Linked DNA regions of Sus scrofa. The protein of the gene in region 1 purifies or fractionates together with the protein of each later gene. This does not show direct contact. Links are inferred from orthologs where the notes say so. Each region holds a gene or a part of one and is shown in the gene's direction. Other genes may lie near its edges. The genes, in order: NUP160, NUP43 and NUP133.

Region 1 (3,649 bases):
TGTGGCTATGGCTGTGACATAGGCCAGCAGCTGCAGCTCCAATTCAACCCCTAGCCTGGGAACTTCCATGTGCCTCAGATGCGGCCCTAGAAATCTTTAAAAAATTATTATTAAAATACAGTTTATAAGATAACACTCTAGTCTTCTAAATGAGAATTTCCGTATGATTGCTTGTTCAGGTTTAGAAACTGATCTGAGCCGATTTCCTTATTATTTTAGAAATCTGGAACAAAGACATTAAATGAATTGTATGCTTCAGTTAAAAAACACAAGAATCCAAGTCATTTAGTTTCGAGTACCACTCCTCAGTCACATTGGCCCTAATACTATCTGTCAGTTAGCTAGATTATCAGTTCAGTTGTGAGCTTCTAAAAATGCTCTCCTTTTAAATACATTCTTTGAATGGTATTATCATTGTTCATTAAGAATCTGGAACTCATTAGTCCTTTCTGCTTTTATCAAGTGCTACAGATGAAGCATGGCGACTCTTATCAACTTACCTGGAAAGATACAAAGTCCAGAATAATTTATATCACCACTGTGTCATTAACAAGCTCTTGTCTCATGGAGTGCCTCTGCCTAATTGGCTTATAAACAGTTACAAGGTAAGTGTTCTCTTAACTTGTAGAGAGTGAGAACCTGGTCTTTATCATCCTGAATAACTTTATGAGATGATTAAAAAGGAAAAGACAGAATGATAATTTATGGACACATACTGACTTATGTTCTTAATACCTCAATCTTAGCTAAAAACACTAAGAGCACTTTGCCTCAGTCCCGGTGAAGTACTGGGTGTTTAAAGTTCTCTGGGTTGATTATGTTAATGCAGGCTTGTGTGCTTACTGAACCACAAGCATGCATTTAGAACAATTCGATCTGTGTGACACAGCATTTCCTTTTTTTTTTCTCTTCTGGGGCCGAACCCTCGGCATATGGAGTTTCCCAGCCTAGGGGTCTAATCGGAGCTATAGCCGCTGGTCTGCGCCAGAGCCACAGCAACTCGGGATCCAAACCACATCTTCGACCTACACCACAGCTCACAGCAAAACCAGATCCTTAACCCACTGAGCAAGGCCAGGGATCGAACCCACAACCTCATAGTTCCTAGTCGGATTCGTTAACCACTGAGCCACAACGGGAACTCTAGCATTTGCTTTTCATTACTCAAAAAATTCACAGGATTGGGTGGAGTAGTTACTACAATAGTGTGTTTCAATTTTTTTTTCAAAATTAGTTTCTTGGGCCACCCATATCAAAATTATTTGGGTGGGAGTTCCCATTGTGGCTCAGCGTTAACGAACCCAACTAGTATCCATGAGGATTCGGGTTCAATCCCTTGCTCGGTGGGTTAAAGATCTGGCATTGCCGTGAGCTGTGGTGTAGGTGGCAGACAGGGCTTGGATCTGTCGTTGCTGTGGCTGTGGCATAGGCCAGCAGCTGTAGGTCCGATTCAACCCCTAGCCTGGGAACTTCCAGTATGCTTTGGTTGTGGCCCTAAAAAGCAAAAAAGAAAGAAAGAAAAATTATTTGGGTGGTGGGCTTCTTCAAAATATAGATGCCTAGGCTTCATCTCAGACTTATAGAATCAAATTATCTGGCATTAGGATCCACAATCTATATCTTAACAAGATCCTAATTTGATTTGATCTGTGACTAAGTGTGAGAACTACTATATCTGAAATATACTGGGCACAATAGGAAAATAATATAAAGCTTACAATCAAAAAATTCTGTTGTTTTTTGAGTTTGAAAGTAGAGAAAGCAACTAAGATGGTAGAGGTTAAGACTGTGATCGAATCAGAATATGGAAAGCATAACTGACATTAATTAGGAGAGCTGTTCCAAACTAAGGCCGTGGTCACTTTCCTTTCCTCTCACCCTGAGTTAAGTACAAATATAATTCAAGCATTTCAAGTTGGTGATTCCTTTAACTTCTTTTGCATTTGTCATTCATATATTGCTGAGAATTAATGTGAATATGTTATCTCCTGTACTCAGCATTTGGGGAAGGGTCGTTGACTTTTTACTACTATGGAAGCTGAAATAGGAAAGAATTAAAATGTGTCTTAGATCCAGACAGGTAGTAAGGCCACTTAACAGAAAGGGGCTTACGAGGTGCCTAGAGGTAACTGGCTCTTGGGAATCCAACCTTCATCCCAAGATAAGTAAACCAAGGCACTTGTTTACTTATCGTGAAAAGTATAAATGCCAGGGAATCAGACAGCATCCTTTGGTCGGTGCCCAGGTAGGATGGAAAAAAGTAAATGTTCTTAATCACTGACTTTTTGCAGAAGGTTGATGCAGCTGAGTTGCTCCGTCTATACTTAAACTACGACCTTTTAGAAGAAGCTGTGGACTTGGTGTCTGAATATGTGGATGCTGTCTTGGGAAAAGGACATCAGTACTTTGGAATTGAGGTAGGCTCGAATACCTGTATGTATTCTGTATTATCACACTGAGTCAAGTCAGGATATGAAAGTAAATTGAACTGTAGAATAATAGGTTTAACCTTTACTGAGGGTAGTTACACAACTAGTTTTCTCCAAGAGCAGGGACTGGCACTCTAAGTATTTCCAGTTTCCTGCTTATCAAAGGGAAATACATCTCATTTTTCTCCTTTAAAGGAATGTGGTTTTAGGTAGTATTTGGAAGAGTGAGGGAAGTAAGAACAAAATGGTATTTTGTGTGTGCTGAAGACTGGGCTGAGTCTGTATTTTCTCACTTAATCCTTATAACAGCCTATAAGGGACTGTTCTTTTTGTTGTTGTTGCCCATGAGGAAAAAGGGACTCAGAGGTCAAGTTGCCAAGGCTCACACAAAAGATAAATTAAAACTCCAGGTGTTGAAGTTCCCTGGAGGCTTAGCGGGTTAAAGATCCATTGTTGTTGTCACTGCTGTGGCACAGGTTTGATCCCTGGAGGGATCCTCCCATGGCCAAAAAAAATCCAGATCTAGTTAACTACAGACCCAAGCTCTTAAACTCTCAGGAAAATATTCAGAACTTCAAATGTTAAACTTAACTTTTTTTTTTTTTTTTTGTCTTTTTGCTATTTCTTAGGCCGCTCCTGCGGCATATGGAGGTTCCCAGGCCTGGGGTTGAATCAGAGCTGTAGCTGCCGGCCTATGCCAGAGCCACAGCAACTCCGGATCCAAGCTGAGTCTGCAACCTACACCACAGCTCACGGCAACGCCAGATCCCTAACCCACTGAGCAAGGCTAGGGATCGAACCCACAACCTCATGGTTCCTCGTCGGATTTATTAACCACTGAGCCACGACGGGAACTCCTAAACTTAACTTTAACAAAGGTTTTTTCCAGATAATTTGAATCTAAATTTCAGACTGGAAATAATATTATTCATTGAGAATTTATAGAAGAGTTTTGTTGAGTGTGTTTATCATTAATCAGCCTTAGGGCTGCTTTAACATCAAAGATGATATGAATTAGAGTTCCCATCGTGGTGCAGCGGAAACGAATCTGACTAGGAACCATGAGGTTGCAGGTTCAATCCCTGGCCTCACTCAGCAGGTCAAGGATCTGGTGTTGCTGTGAGCTGTGGTGTAGGTCGCAGACACGGCTTGGATCTGGCATTGCTGTGGCTGTGGCATAGGCTGGCAGCTACAACTGATTCCACCCCTAGCCTGGGAAC
Region 2 (4,389 bases), on another chromosome or scaffold:
ACCATTTGCCAGACAACGCTATTGATTTCTCTCATTAATCTTAGTATTCCCACATATATTTAATTGACATTTACGAAAAAAGGAAAGATTATTAAGTTCTCTGAGAGAACTCAAATACGTTTTTTAAAAAGTCTCAGCCCTCAAGGAGGTTACAAATCGAATTAGGAAACATGACAAACACATGAAAAGCTAAATAATCTATAATATATTATATATATATACATGCATATAATTAAAAATACCACGTGGCAGGATGTGATTATTTGCAAAGTCAGGGGCAAAGAAGTGGGCTACAAATCTGACCAGAGTGAGAGAGTATTACGAACTCTGGTCTTTCTGGTCTCCCGACCAGACGGCGACACTATATTTCGATTTAAAAAAAGAAAGTGACACAGCACTCGTCACCCTAAAATTATCATCAGAGAAAGGAATACAATAACTAAAGAGAATGGTGTAAAGAAACTTCCATACAAAGCTTCTAAAGCATACAGTAGCCCTGGAAAAAGTTAGAACATTCCACATATACAATCCTTTGCTGGATCCCAGTATCTCTAACGGCTCCTGAAATACATGTCTCTCGGGAAGAGCATCCCCTGATGATTTCTTCCTCCGCCCCCCACGAAGCTTTCCCTTGGACAGCCGCCCCAGAAATTTCTCCCAGCATCCGCAATGACAATACTCTCATCTTCCTCTCCCTCCCCTCGCCAGTATCAGACGGTGGCATCTCCCTCCAGAGGAAAAATCAGAGGGCGGGGGAGGCAGAATAGGAGAGAAAGCTTGCAGCTAGGTCGATTACGACAGAGCAGGAGGTGAGAAGACGCGGGGGTCGAGGGCGGGGTCCCCTCAGTTCCAGCCCAGTCTCCAGGAAACCTGGCCAACATCCCACTCCTCAGGACACGCCCCTCGCCGGACCCCGATCAGGGGGGGACGGACTCGAGTGACAGCCCCACCACCTGTGCCTCGCCCCTTCCCCCAGGCCCGCGGGGAGACGCCTGTCCCTACCCCACCAGCAGCGGCCCCTGGGTCTTTCTCTCCGGTTCCCGTCCACGTCCCCGAAGAGTGACAGGTCCCAGGGGAGGCAATCGCAAGCGCTTGCCATTTGGGACCGCTGGTGCAACCCTGCGCCTAAGCCCTCCAACAGGCACGGGGAGGAGGATAGGGACAGAACGTTCCGGGCGGCCCAGGGGGACCTGGTCCAGGCCTGGCCTTCCCCACTTGCCCCACACCGGGCGGGGGTGGCACTTACTGCGGAGGTTGTGGATTAGCTCCGAGTGGCTGGCGCCGCCGGATTTCCAGGCCATCGCTAGGCACACCCGGAGCAGGTACAGAACCACCTTCAGCGCGGCGACGGTGCCCAGCAGCTTCCCCAAGAGTGAGACCACCTCCCACACGGTCACCGCCCCGCTCGCGTCCCCGCTGTGGCCGCCGCTGTGACTGCCGTCGCCGCTGCTGCCGCCACTGCGCGCTCCCGGCATGCCCCGCGGCACGCATGCGCCTTGTGACGCCGCGCGGCCTCGGGTGCGGCCGGGGTGGGGCCGGAGGCGGGGATGGCTTGGTGCCCAGCCGCCCGCGTTAGGTCCCGTTGCGGCTGCCCGGGACTGGCGGGATGGCCCGGCTGAGTCAGCGCCACCGCCTCTGCTGCGTGGCCTTTCTGATGCCGCGGGCTGCGCAACGCCTCTTTGCTGGGTTTGCCCTGCGGCCAGGCGGGCGGGGTGGGCCCCGGCGTGGTCGGTGTCGCGTGCCTCACTACAGCTCTGGTCACCCAGCGCGGTGAAAGGATGGTAGGGCCGATCTGGTTCCGCAGCTGCCGGTGGCTCTGCAGTCGCCGCTGGGTCAGCTGCTGCAAGCGGCGGGGCTGCTCCTATAGCTGTCCAGGTTGTTAGACGGTGGGCTTTCTCCGTCCTGCCTCGCCCAACCCAATGAATGACTAATACATAGGTCAGTTAGATCCAGAGCTCCCTATGGTGGAGCTTGAATAACTGTAATAGAACTGGAAGGAAAAGGTCCTCTCTAACCCAAGTACTCCAGCCTTTGACTTGTGATAAGTAAGTTAGCGTTTGTGAGCAGAGACTTTGGGATCCTAGTTTGTTCTCAGCTGTAGAGCTTGAATTAGAAGAGTGGAAGAATACTGAGACATGGCGTGGGGGGTGGACTGTGGGGAATGCTGTGCTTCTCAGAACTTGTTAAAAATACTACAGTATCCTATGGCAAATGTGTTGTTCTCCCAACACAAGTGTGCATTTTCAGCTATTTAAGCCTCACAAATTCCACCGTTAGACTGGACACCAGCTTTCTTGCTATTAGCTGTGCAAGAGAATGAGTGAAAAGCTGACAAGGAACATTGCCTGTAGCATCCAACTCACTGACTTATAGTCAGAACCGAGAGTGGAAAAATCCAGTCATCATATCACTTAATACAATAAACTTTTAAGGAAGGAAATAAAGCTATGTCAAAACATCAGTGCCACTGTGTCAGCAACAATTTTCAAGCTTCTCACCAGTCCTTGGCAAATGTGACACTTATCTAACCCTAATCTGAAATATGTATTATTTCTTGGGATTCTGCAACAGTAAAGAAAAGTGTACTTCAATACTGGGGGCAAATTTTCAGTTCGGGACTCTAAATTTTCTATTTCATTATTAATTTCTTAATAATCTTGCAGTTAAAAGCAAAACACCAGTCAGTTTTCAATAAGAACCTGATAACTGTCTCCAAAGCTGACCTAGATGGATTGCATTTCCATGCGATGCTTCCACAAACTGGCTGTGAAATAGGACTACCAAGATCAGATAGACACAAAATCATGGCCCCATTTAAAGAAATAACCAACACAGTTATAGCTATAGTATAAAGGAGGTTTGTTTGGTTTTTTTTAAGATGAATATGTCCTATCTTTTGTAATAATAGGATTTACCTTCTAATTGGGGAGGTTTACATTTTTAAAAAAAGCTAGCAACAGGAAGCAAAATGTAAGTGCTCTTAGTGGTCTAGATATTAAGGGATATATTTATTTAGATCGTCTTGGGCTGAAGTAATAGGAAAAAAAAACTAGAGGAAGGAATTAATCCTTGAAAGATAGGGAAGATTCTGAGGCAGAAAGGAATTTTTTTTTAAGGGCGGAGGTAAGCAGTCGACGTTACATTTCAAAATCATCTTTAATTATATGCATAAATGAATTGAGGAAGGCTACAAAGGCAATGAGAGTCAAAATTATAACTGGGGTCTTCAGAATTCCAACTCGTTTGATAGTGTGTATTAAAAACCTTGAAGAGAAGGATTTGTTTGGGGGACAGGGAGAGAGAGGCTTTGAATAATAAATTGGTACGTTAATGGATGTACTTCCATGAGAATATAAGGATTTTGAATCTTTTCTATGCACGGTGAAATTCAAGACTTAATACTTAGGTGTGGCTATTAGAGCTTTTCTCTCGTTGACTCTTTTGCTTTTTGCTTTTTAATTTGTTATGCATTGCACAGTTACTGCAGAAATGCACCGCGTCACTGTTCACATGCTGACTTTGCAGGTTTGGAGCAGATCCTACAGCACGGGGACGGGCACACTCTTGCCTCTGTTCAGAGCCGCCTGGCTGAGGAAGAGCGTCCCAACTTCTTCCCACTTAGGGGCTGCTGGTTCTTTCCCCGCACTGGAGACGGAGGAAAATTGGCCCTCTGTAGCCACCGTCCTCTTGAGGTCCGGTCCAATCAAGGCTTAGCGGAAAGGGGCGGGACTGAGTGGCGCGCGCTGTGCTTCTACCTCTGCTTCTGCCTCTACCTCCCCCGGGTTGCTTTCAGCATGGAGGAAATTTATGCCAAGTTTGTGTCACAGAAAATCAGCAAGACCCGCTGGCGACCGCTATCTTCGGGGAGCCTGCAGACGGCGGAGACCTTCGCCACGGGCTCTTGGGACAATGAGGTACCCCTACTCCCGGGCCCCTGCCTCCTCTCTCCCTCCTAGAACTGCACCCCCGGCTGCCAGCGCGCGAACTCTCTCCGATTCTAGCTTCTCTCGCCCTTCTCTGTCCCCTGAATGCCTGTCTCATGCTCGGTTGCCCAGTATCTCAAAGCCATCGATGGTGTGTGTGTCTGAGTCTCGAATCTCGTTGTGTTTTCAAGGATTATCATCCCATTTGCCTAAAACGATTTTAAAACAAGGTTGATTGAAGGCAATGAAAATTTTAATTTCAGCGAGTTTGACGTGTATTTCGTCTTTGCTTTACAGGAAAATTATGTTTCACTGTGGTCTATTGGAGATTTGGGGAACGTGGACTCTGATGGAGGATTTGAAGGAGACCATCAGTTATTGTGTGACATCAGACACCATGGTGATGTAATGGATTTACAAGTAAGCCTGTGTAATAGCCAAAAGCTAACTTTAAAAAAAAAACAAA
Region 3 (3,649 bases), on another chromosome or scaffold:
GTTTTATGCAATTATAAGTAAAGCCACTAGAAACTTTTGCACACTGATTTTTTTGTGTGAACACATGTTTTTATTTCTCTTGGGTAAACTTCTAGGAGTGGGTTTGCTAGGTTACATGGTAAGTGCATATTTAACTGTAAGAAATTGCTAGGCTGTTTTCTGAAGAGGCAGTAGATCTTTCTTTTTCACTGATTAGTGATGGACTTCTGATTTTGGCTGCGGCATGGCACCTAGCAGACAATCCATGTCTCGTCTATTACTCTCTGATAGCAGTGGAAGATAATGGCTACCAAATGTCAGATGCAGTAACTGTAGAAGTCACTCAGTATAATCCACCTTTTCAGGTAAGATATCTGTCTGTAAGTTTTTTTTTGTTTTTGGTTTTTGTCTTTTTAGGGCTGCACCTGCATCATATGGAGGTTCCCAGGCTAGGGGTCGAATCAGAGCTCTAGCTGCCAGCCTATGCCACAGTCACAGCAACACCAGATCCAAGCTGTGTCTTCAGCATACACAACAGCTCATATCAGTGCTGGATCCTTTAACCCACTGAGTGAGGCCAGGGATTGAAGCTGCGTCCTTACAGATGCTAGCCAGATTCTTTTCCACTGAGCCACGATGGGACCTCCCTGTCTGTAAGTGAAATTACACAGTGACAATAACATACTGAGTTATTTTTCCTAACTGTTGCAGGGCCAGATTCTTTGAGAAATTCATCTGCTGGCTCGGAAATACATTTTAAATTGCTAGTTTGGGGGCATTGGATCCTGTCTGCCGTGTTAAACACATTCCTTTCCCTTGGATTAGCTAAAGAGAAGTGGGAGTGGAGCGCCTGGCAGCAAGTGTGTTTCTCCTGCTCCCACTCTGTGAAGGGATTCTTGTTTCTTTATCACTGAGTAGAAAGAAAATGCTGACCATGAACTGCAGAGTGAAAAATAAGGAAGGAACCTGATAGGAATTGGGCTTTGGTTTCACCCCTGCAAATTAAAGGGAAAAAAAAAAACAAACAATTTTTGCTCAGAGATTATATTGGAGGCAAGTACATTAAATACTCATCAAAGTTCATGTAAACAATTAGAAGGTAAGCTCTCTAATTTTAAGCTTCTTAATGGCAATTGAACATTGTTTAATAACTATGATGTTCGTAAGGAGAGGTCTTAATGCTGTAAATTCATTTCTTTTTTTTTTTTTTTTTTTTTTTTTTTTTTTTGTGGCTGATCCCATTGTGCCACGGCAGGAGCTCCTAAATATTCATTTCATTAAACTTTGTATAGTATCTAATTCTGCAGCTCCAATTTGACCCCTAGCCTGGAAACTTCCATATGCTGCAGGTACAGCCCTAAAAAGAAAAAAAGAATAAGAATTCTGCAGAATTAGGAGTTCCCATTATGGTGCATCGGAAATGAATCCGACTAGGAACCATGATGTTGTGGCTTCAAACCCTGGCCTCACTCAGTGGGTTAAGGATCTGGCGTTGCCGTGAGCTGTGGTGTAGGTCACCGACTCGGCTCGAATCCTGTGTTACTGTGGCTGTGGTGTAGGCCAGCAGCTGTAGCTTCTATATGACCAGCCTGGGAACCTCCATATGCCATGGGTGTGGCCCTACAAAGCCAAAAAAACAAAACAAAACACACCAAAAAACCTGCGGAACCAGAGTTAAATGAAGTGGATTTATAGGATTTCCTGCTGTGGCACAATGGGATCAGCAGCATTTCTACAGCTCCAGGAGGCAGGTTTAATCCCTGGCCTGGCCCAGTGGGTTAAAGGATCTAGTGATGCTGCAGCTGTGGCTCAGATGTGATCCCTGGCCTGGGAACTCCGTATGGAATTGGAGCTGCAGCTGCCAGCCTATACCACAGCCATGGCAACATAGGATCTGAGCCACATCTGTGACCTACACCGCAGCTCACGGCAACTGCCAGACCCTTAACCCGCTCAGCAAGGCCAGGGACCGAACCCACAACCTCATGGTTCCTAGTCGGATTCATTAACCACTGTGCCACGGTGGGAACTCCTTTTTTTTTTTTTTTTTTCTTTTTTGTCTTTTTGCAATTTCTTGGGCTGCTCCTTTGGCATATGGAGGTTCCCAGGCTAGGGGTCGAATCGGAGCTGTAGCTGCTGGCCTACACCAGAGGCACAGCAACACGGGGTCCGAGCCGCATCTGCAACCTACACCATAGCTCACGGCAACGCCAGATCCTTAACCCACTGAGCAAGGCCAGGGACCGAACCCGCAACCTCATGGTTCTTAGTTGGATTCGCTAACCACTGGGCCCCGACTGGAACTCCTAGTCAGATTCATTTCTGCTAAGCCACAAAGGGAACTTCACTAGTCAGTTTCTTAACCTGCTGCTCCACAACAGCAAATCCAGAAATTTTGTTCTTAATATGACTCTCATGGCTGAATGCTATAAGGAAGTAAGTCTTTTTATTTGGCCATTTATATGAAACAAATAAACCTTATGTGCTCTGACTATATAAGCGAAATATGCTCAGTGTTAAAATTTTTCAGGCAAAGGGTATAAAGAAAATGTGAGAATTAAAAAATTATGGGATTCTGCTTTTAATGTTTTGTTTGTAAAAAAATTTTTTTTTTTTTTTTGTCTTTTTGGGGTTGCAACTGCGGCCTATGGAAGTTCCCAAGCTAGGGGTTGAATTGGACTGTAGCTGCCTACCTACACCACAACCACAGTAATACCAGATCCGAGCTGTGTCTGCAGCCTACACCACAGCTCACAGCAACACTGGATCCTTAACCCACTGAGTGAGGCCAGGGATCAAACCTGTGTCCTCATGGATACTAGTTGGGTTTGTTACTGCTGAGCCACAACAGGAACTCATGTAAAAAATTTTTTAATAACAGTATATTCTTTTTAGCTTTTGTCATTTTTATTATTCAGTCAGGTCTTATTTCTATTTCAAATTTCATATGTGAATAAATTAACTCAGTGTTCTTGTGCTTGATATCTAGACAGTGAGGAAAGAAACAAAATGTTTATCAGGAGTTGTTTATAAGTATTTGTCAATTCTAAAATAAATAATGAACTAATTCTTTATTTTCTTTCTCACATTTGCTGTAGGCTTTTAGTTAAAGTCTTATCACCTTGGAAATGTTTTCAAAATTTGCTAATTATTTGCAACTCAGCAAATGATTTCTCTAATTGATGTTCGTAAACTTATTCTGTTTTATAAGTCATCTTATACTTAGTGTTTAGGTTTTCACAAGGATAATTAGTGAATATTACCATTTTTGTGAGATGGTAGATGAATTATAAGATCATACAAACAAGTATTTTTGTTTCAATTCTCATTAAATCTTTAATTTTCAGTCTGAAGACTTGATTACGTGTCGGTTGATGGTCCCAGACTTTTCAAACCAGACAGCCTATCTGTATAGTGAAAACTCTGTCTATGTGTGCTCCACGGGAACTGGGAAGTTTTCTCTTCCTCGGGAGAAAATTGTCTTTAACACACAAGGTATGGTAGCAGTTTGAGGAACCAGGATTAGTGAACTCATTAGGCATTCCAAGCAGTCTTTGTTCTCTTTCCCTAAGTGTTCCTTCAGGCATGATACCCCTAAGTGTTACTGCCACATTCAGTACCACGTCTGCAGTCGCGAATGTTGCAGCTCAACTGAAAAACCAGAAAGATG

The links.
Region 2: the proteins of NUP160 (region 1) and NUP43 purify together in Homo sapiens (affinity purification with mass spectrometry; 5 studies listed by BioGRID and IntAct, counting the BioPlex papers as one, with this or other methods). This does not show direct contact. The link is inferred for Sus scrofa from reciprocal best matches to the Homo sapiens genes NUP160 and NUP43.
Region 3: the proteins of NUP160 (region 1) and NUP133 purify together in Homo sapiens (co-immunoprecipitation; 4 studies listed by BioGRID and IntAct, with this or other methods). This does not show direct contact. The link is inferred for Sus scrofa from reciprocal best matches to the Homo sapiens genes NUP160 and NUP133.

Annotation. Positions count from the first base shown.
Region 1 is NC_010444.4:14,884,955-14,888,603, forward strand, and holds part of NUP160 (nuclear pore complex protein Nup160), read left to right. Parts: intron 1-463; coding exon 464-605; intron 606-2,291; coding exon 2,292-2,417; intron 2,418-3,649. UniProt on the Homo sapiens protein: Functions as a component of the nuclear pore complex (NPC). Involved in poly(A)+ RNA transport.
Region 2 is NC_010443.5:16,248,046-16,252,434, forward strand, and holds the start of NUP43 (nucleoporin Nup43), read left to right. Parts: upstream 1-1,473; coding exon 1,474-1,686; exon of another isoform or gene 1,687-3,794; coding exon of another isoform or gene 3,795-3,827; coding exon 3,828-3,914; intron 3,915-4,220; coding exon 4,221-4,343; intron 4,344-4,389. Other genes in the region: PCMT1 (protein-L-isoaspartate(D-aspartate) O-methyltransferase), read right to left, coding at 1,247-1,475. UniProt on the Homo sapiens protein: Component of the Nup107-160 subcomplex of the nuclear pore complex (NPC). The Nup107-160 subcomplex is required for the assembly of a functional NPC.
Region 3 is NC_010456.5:60,366,803-60,370,451, forward strand, and holds part of NUP133 (nuclear pore complex protein Nup133), read left to right. Parts: intron 1-196; coding exon 197-344; intron 345-3,326; coding exon 3,327-3,474; intron 3,475-3,649. UniProt on the Homo sapiens protein: Involved in poly(A)+ RNA transport. Involved in nephrogenesis.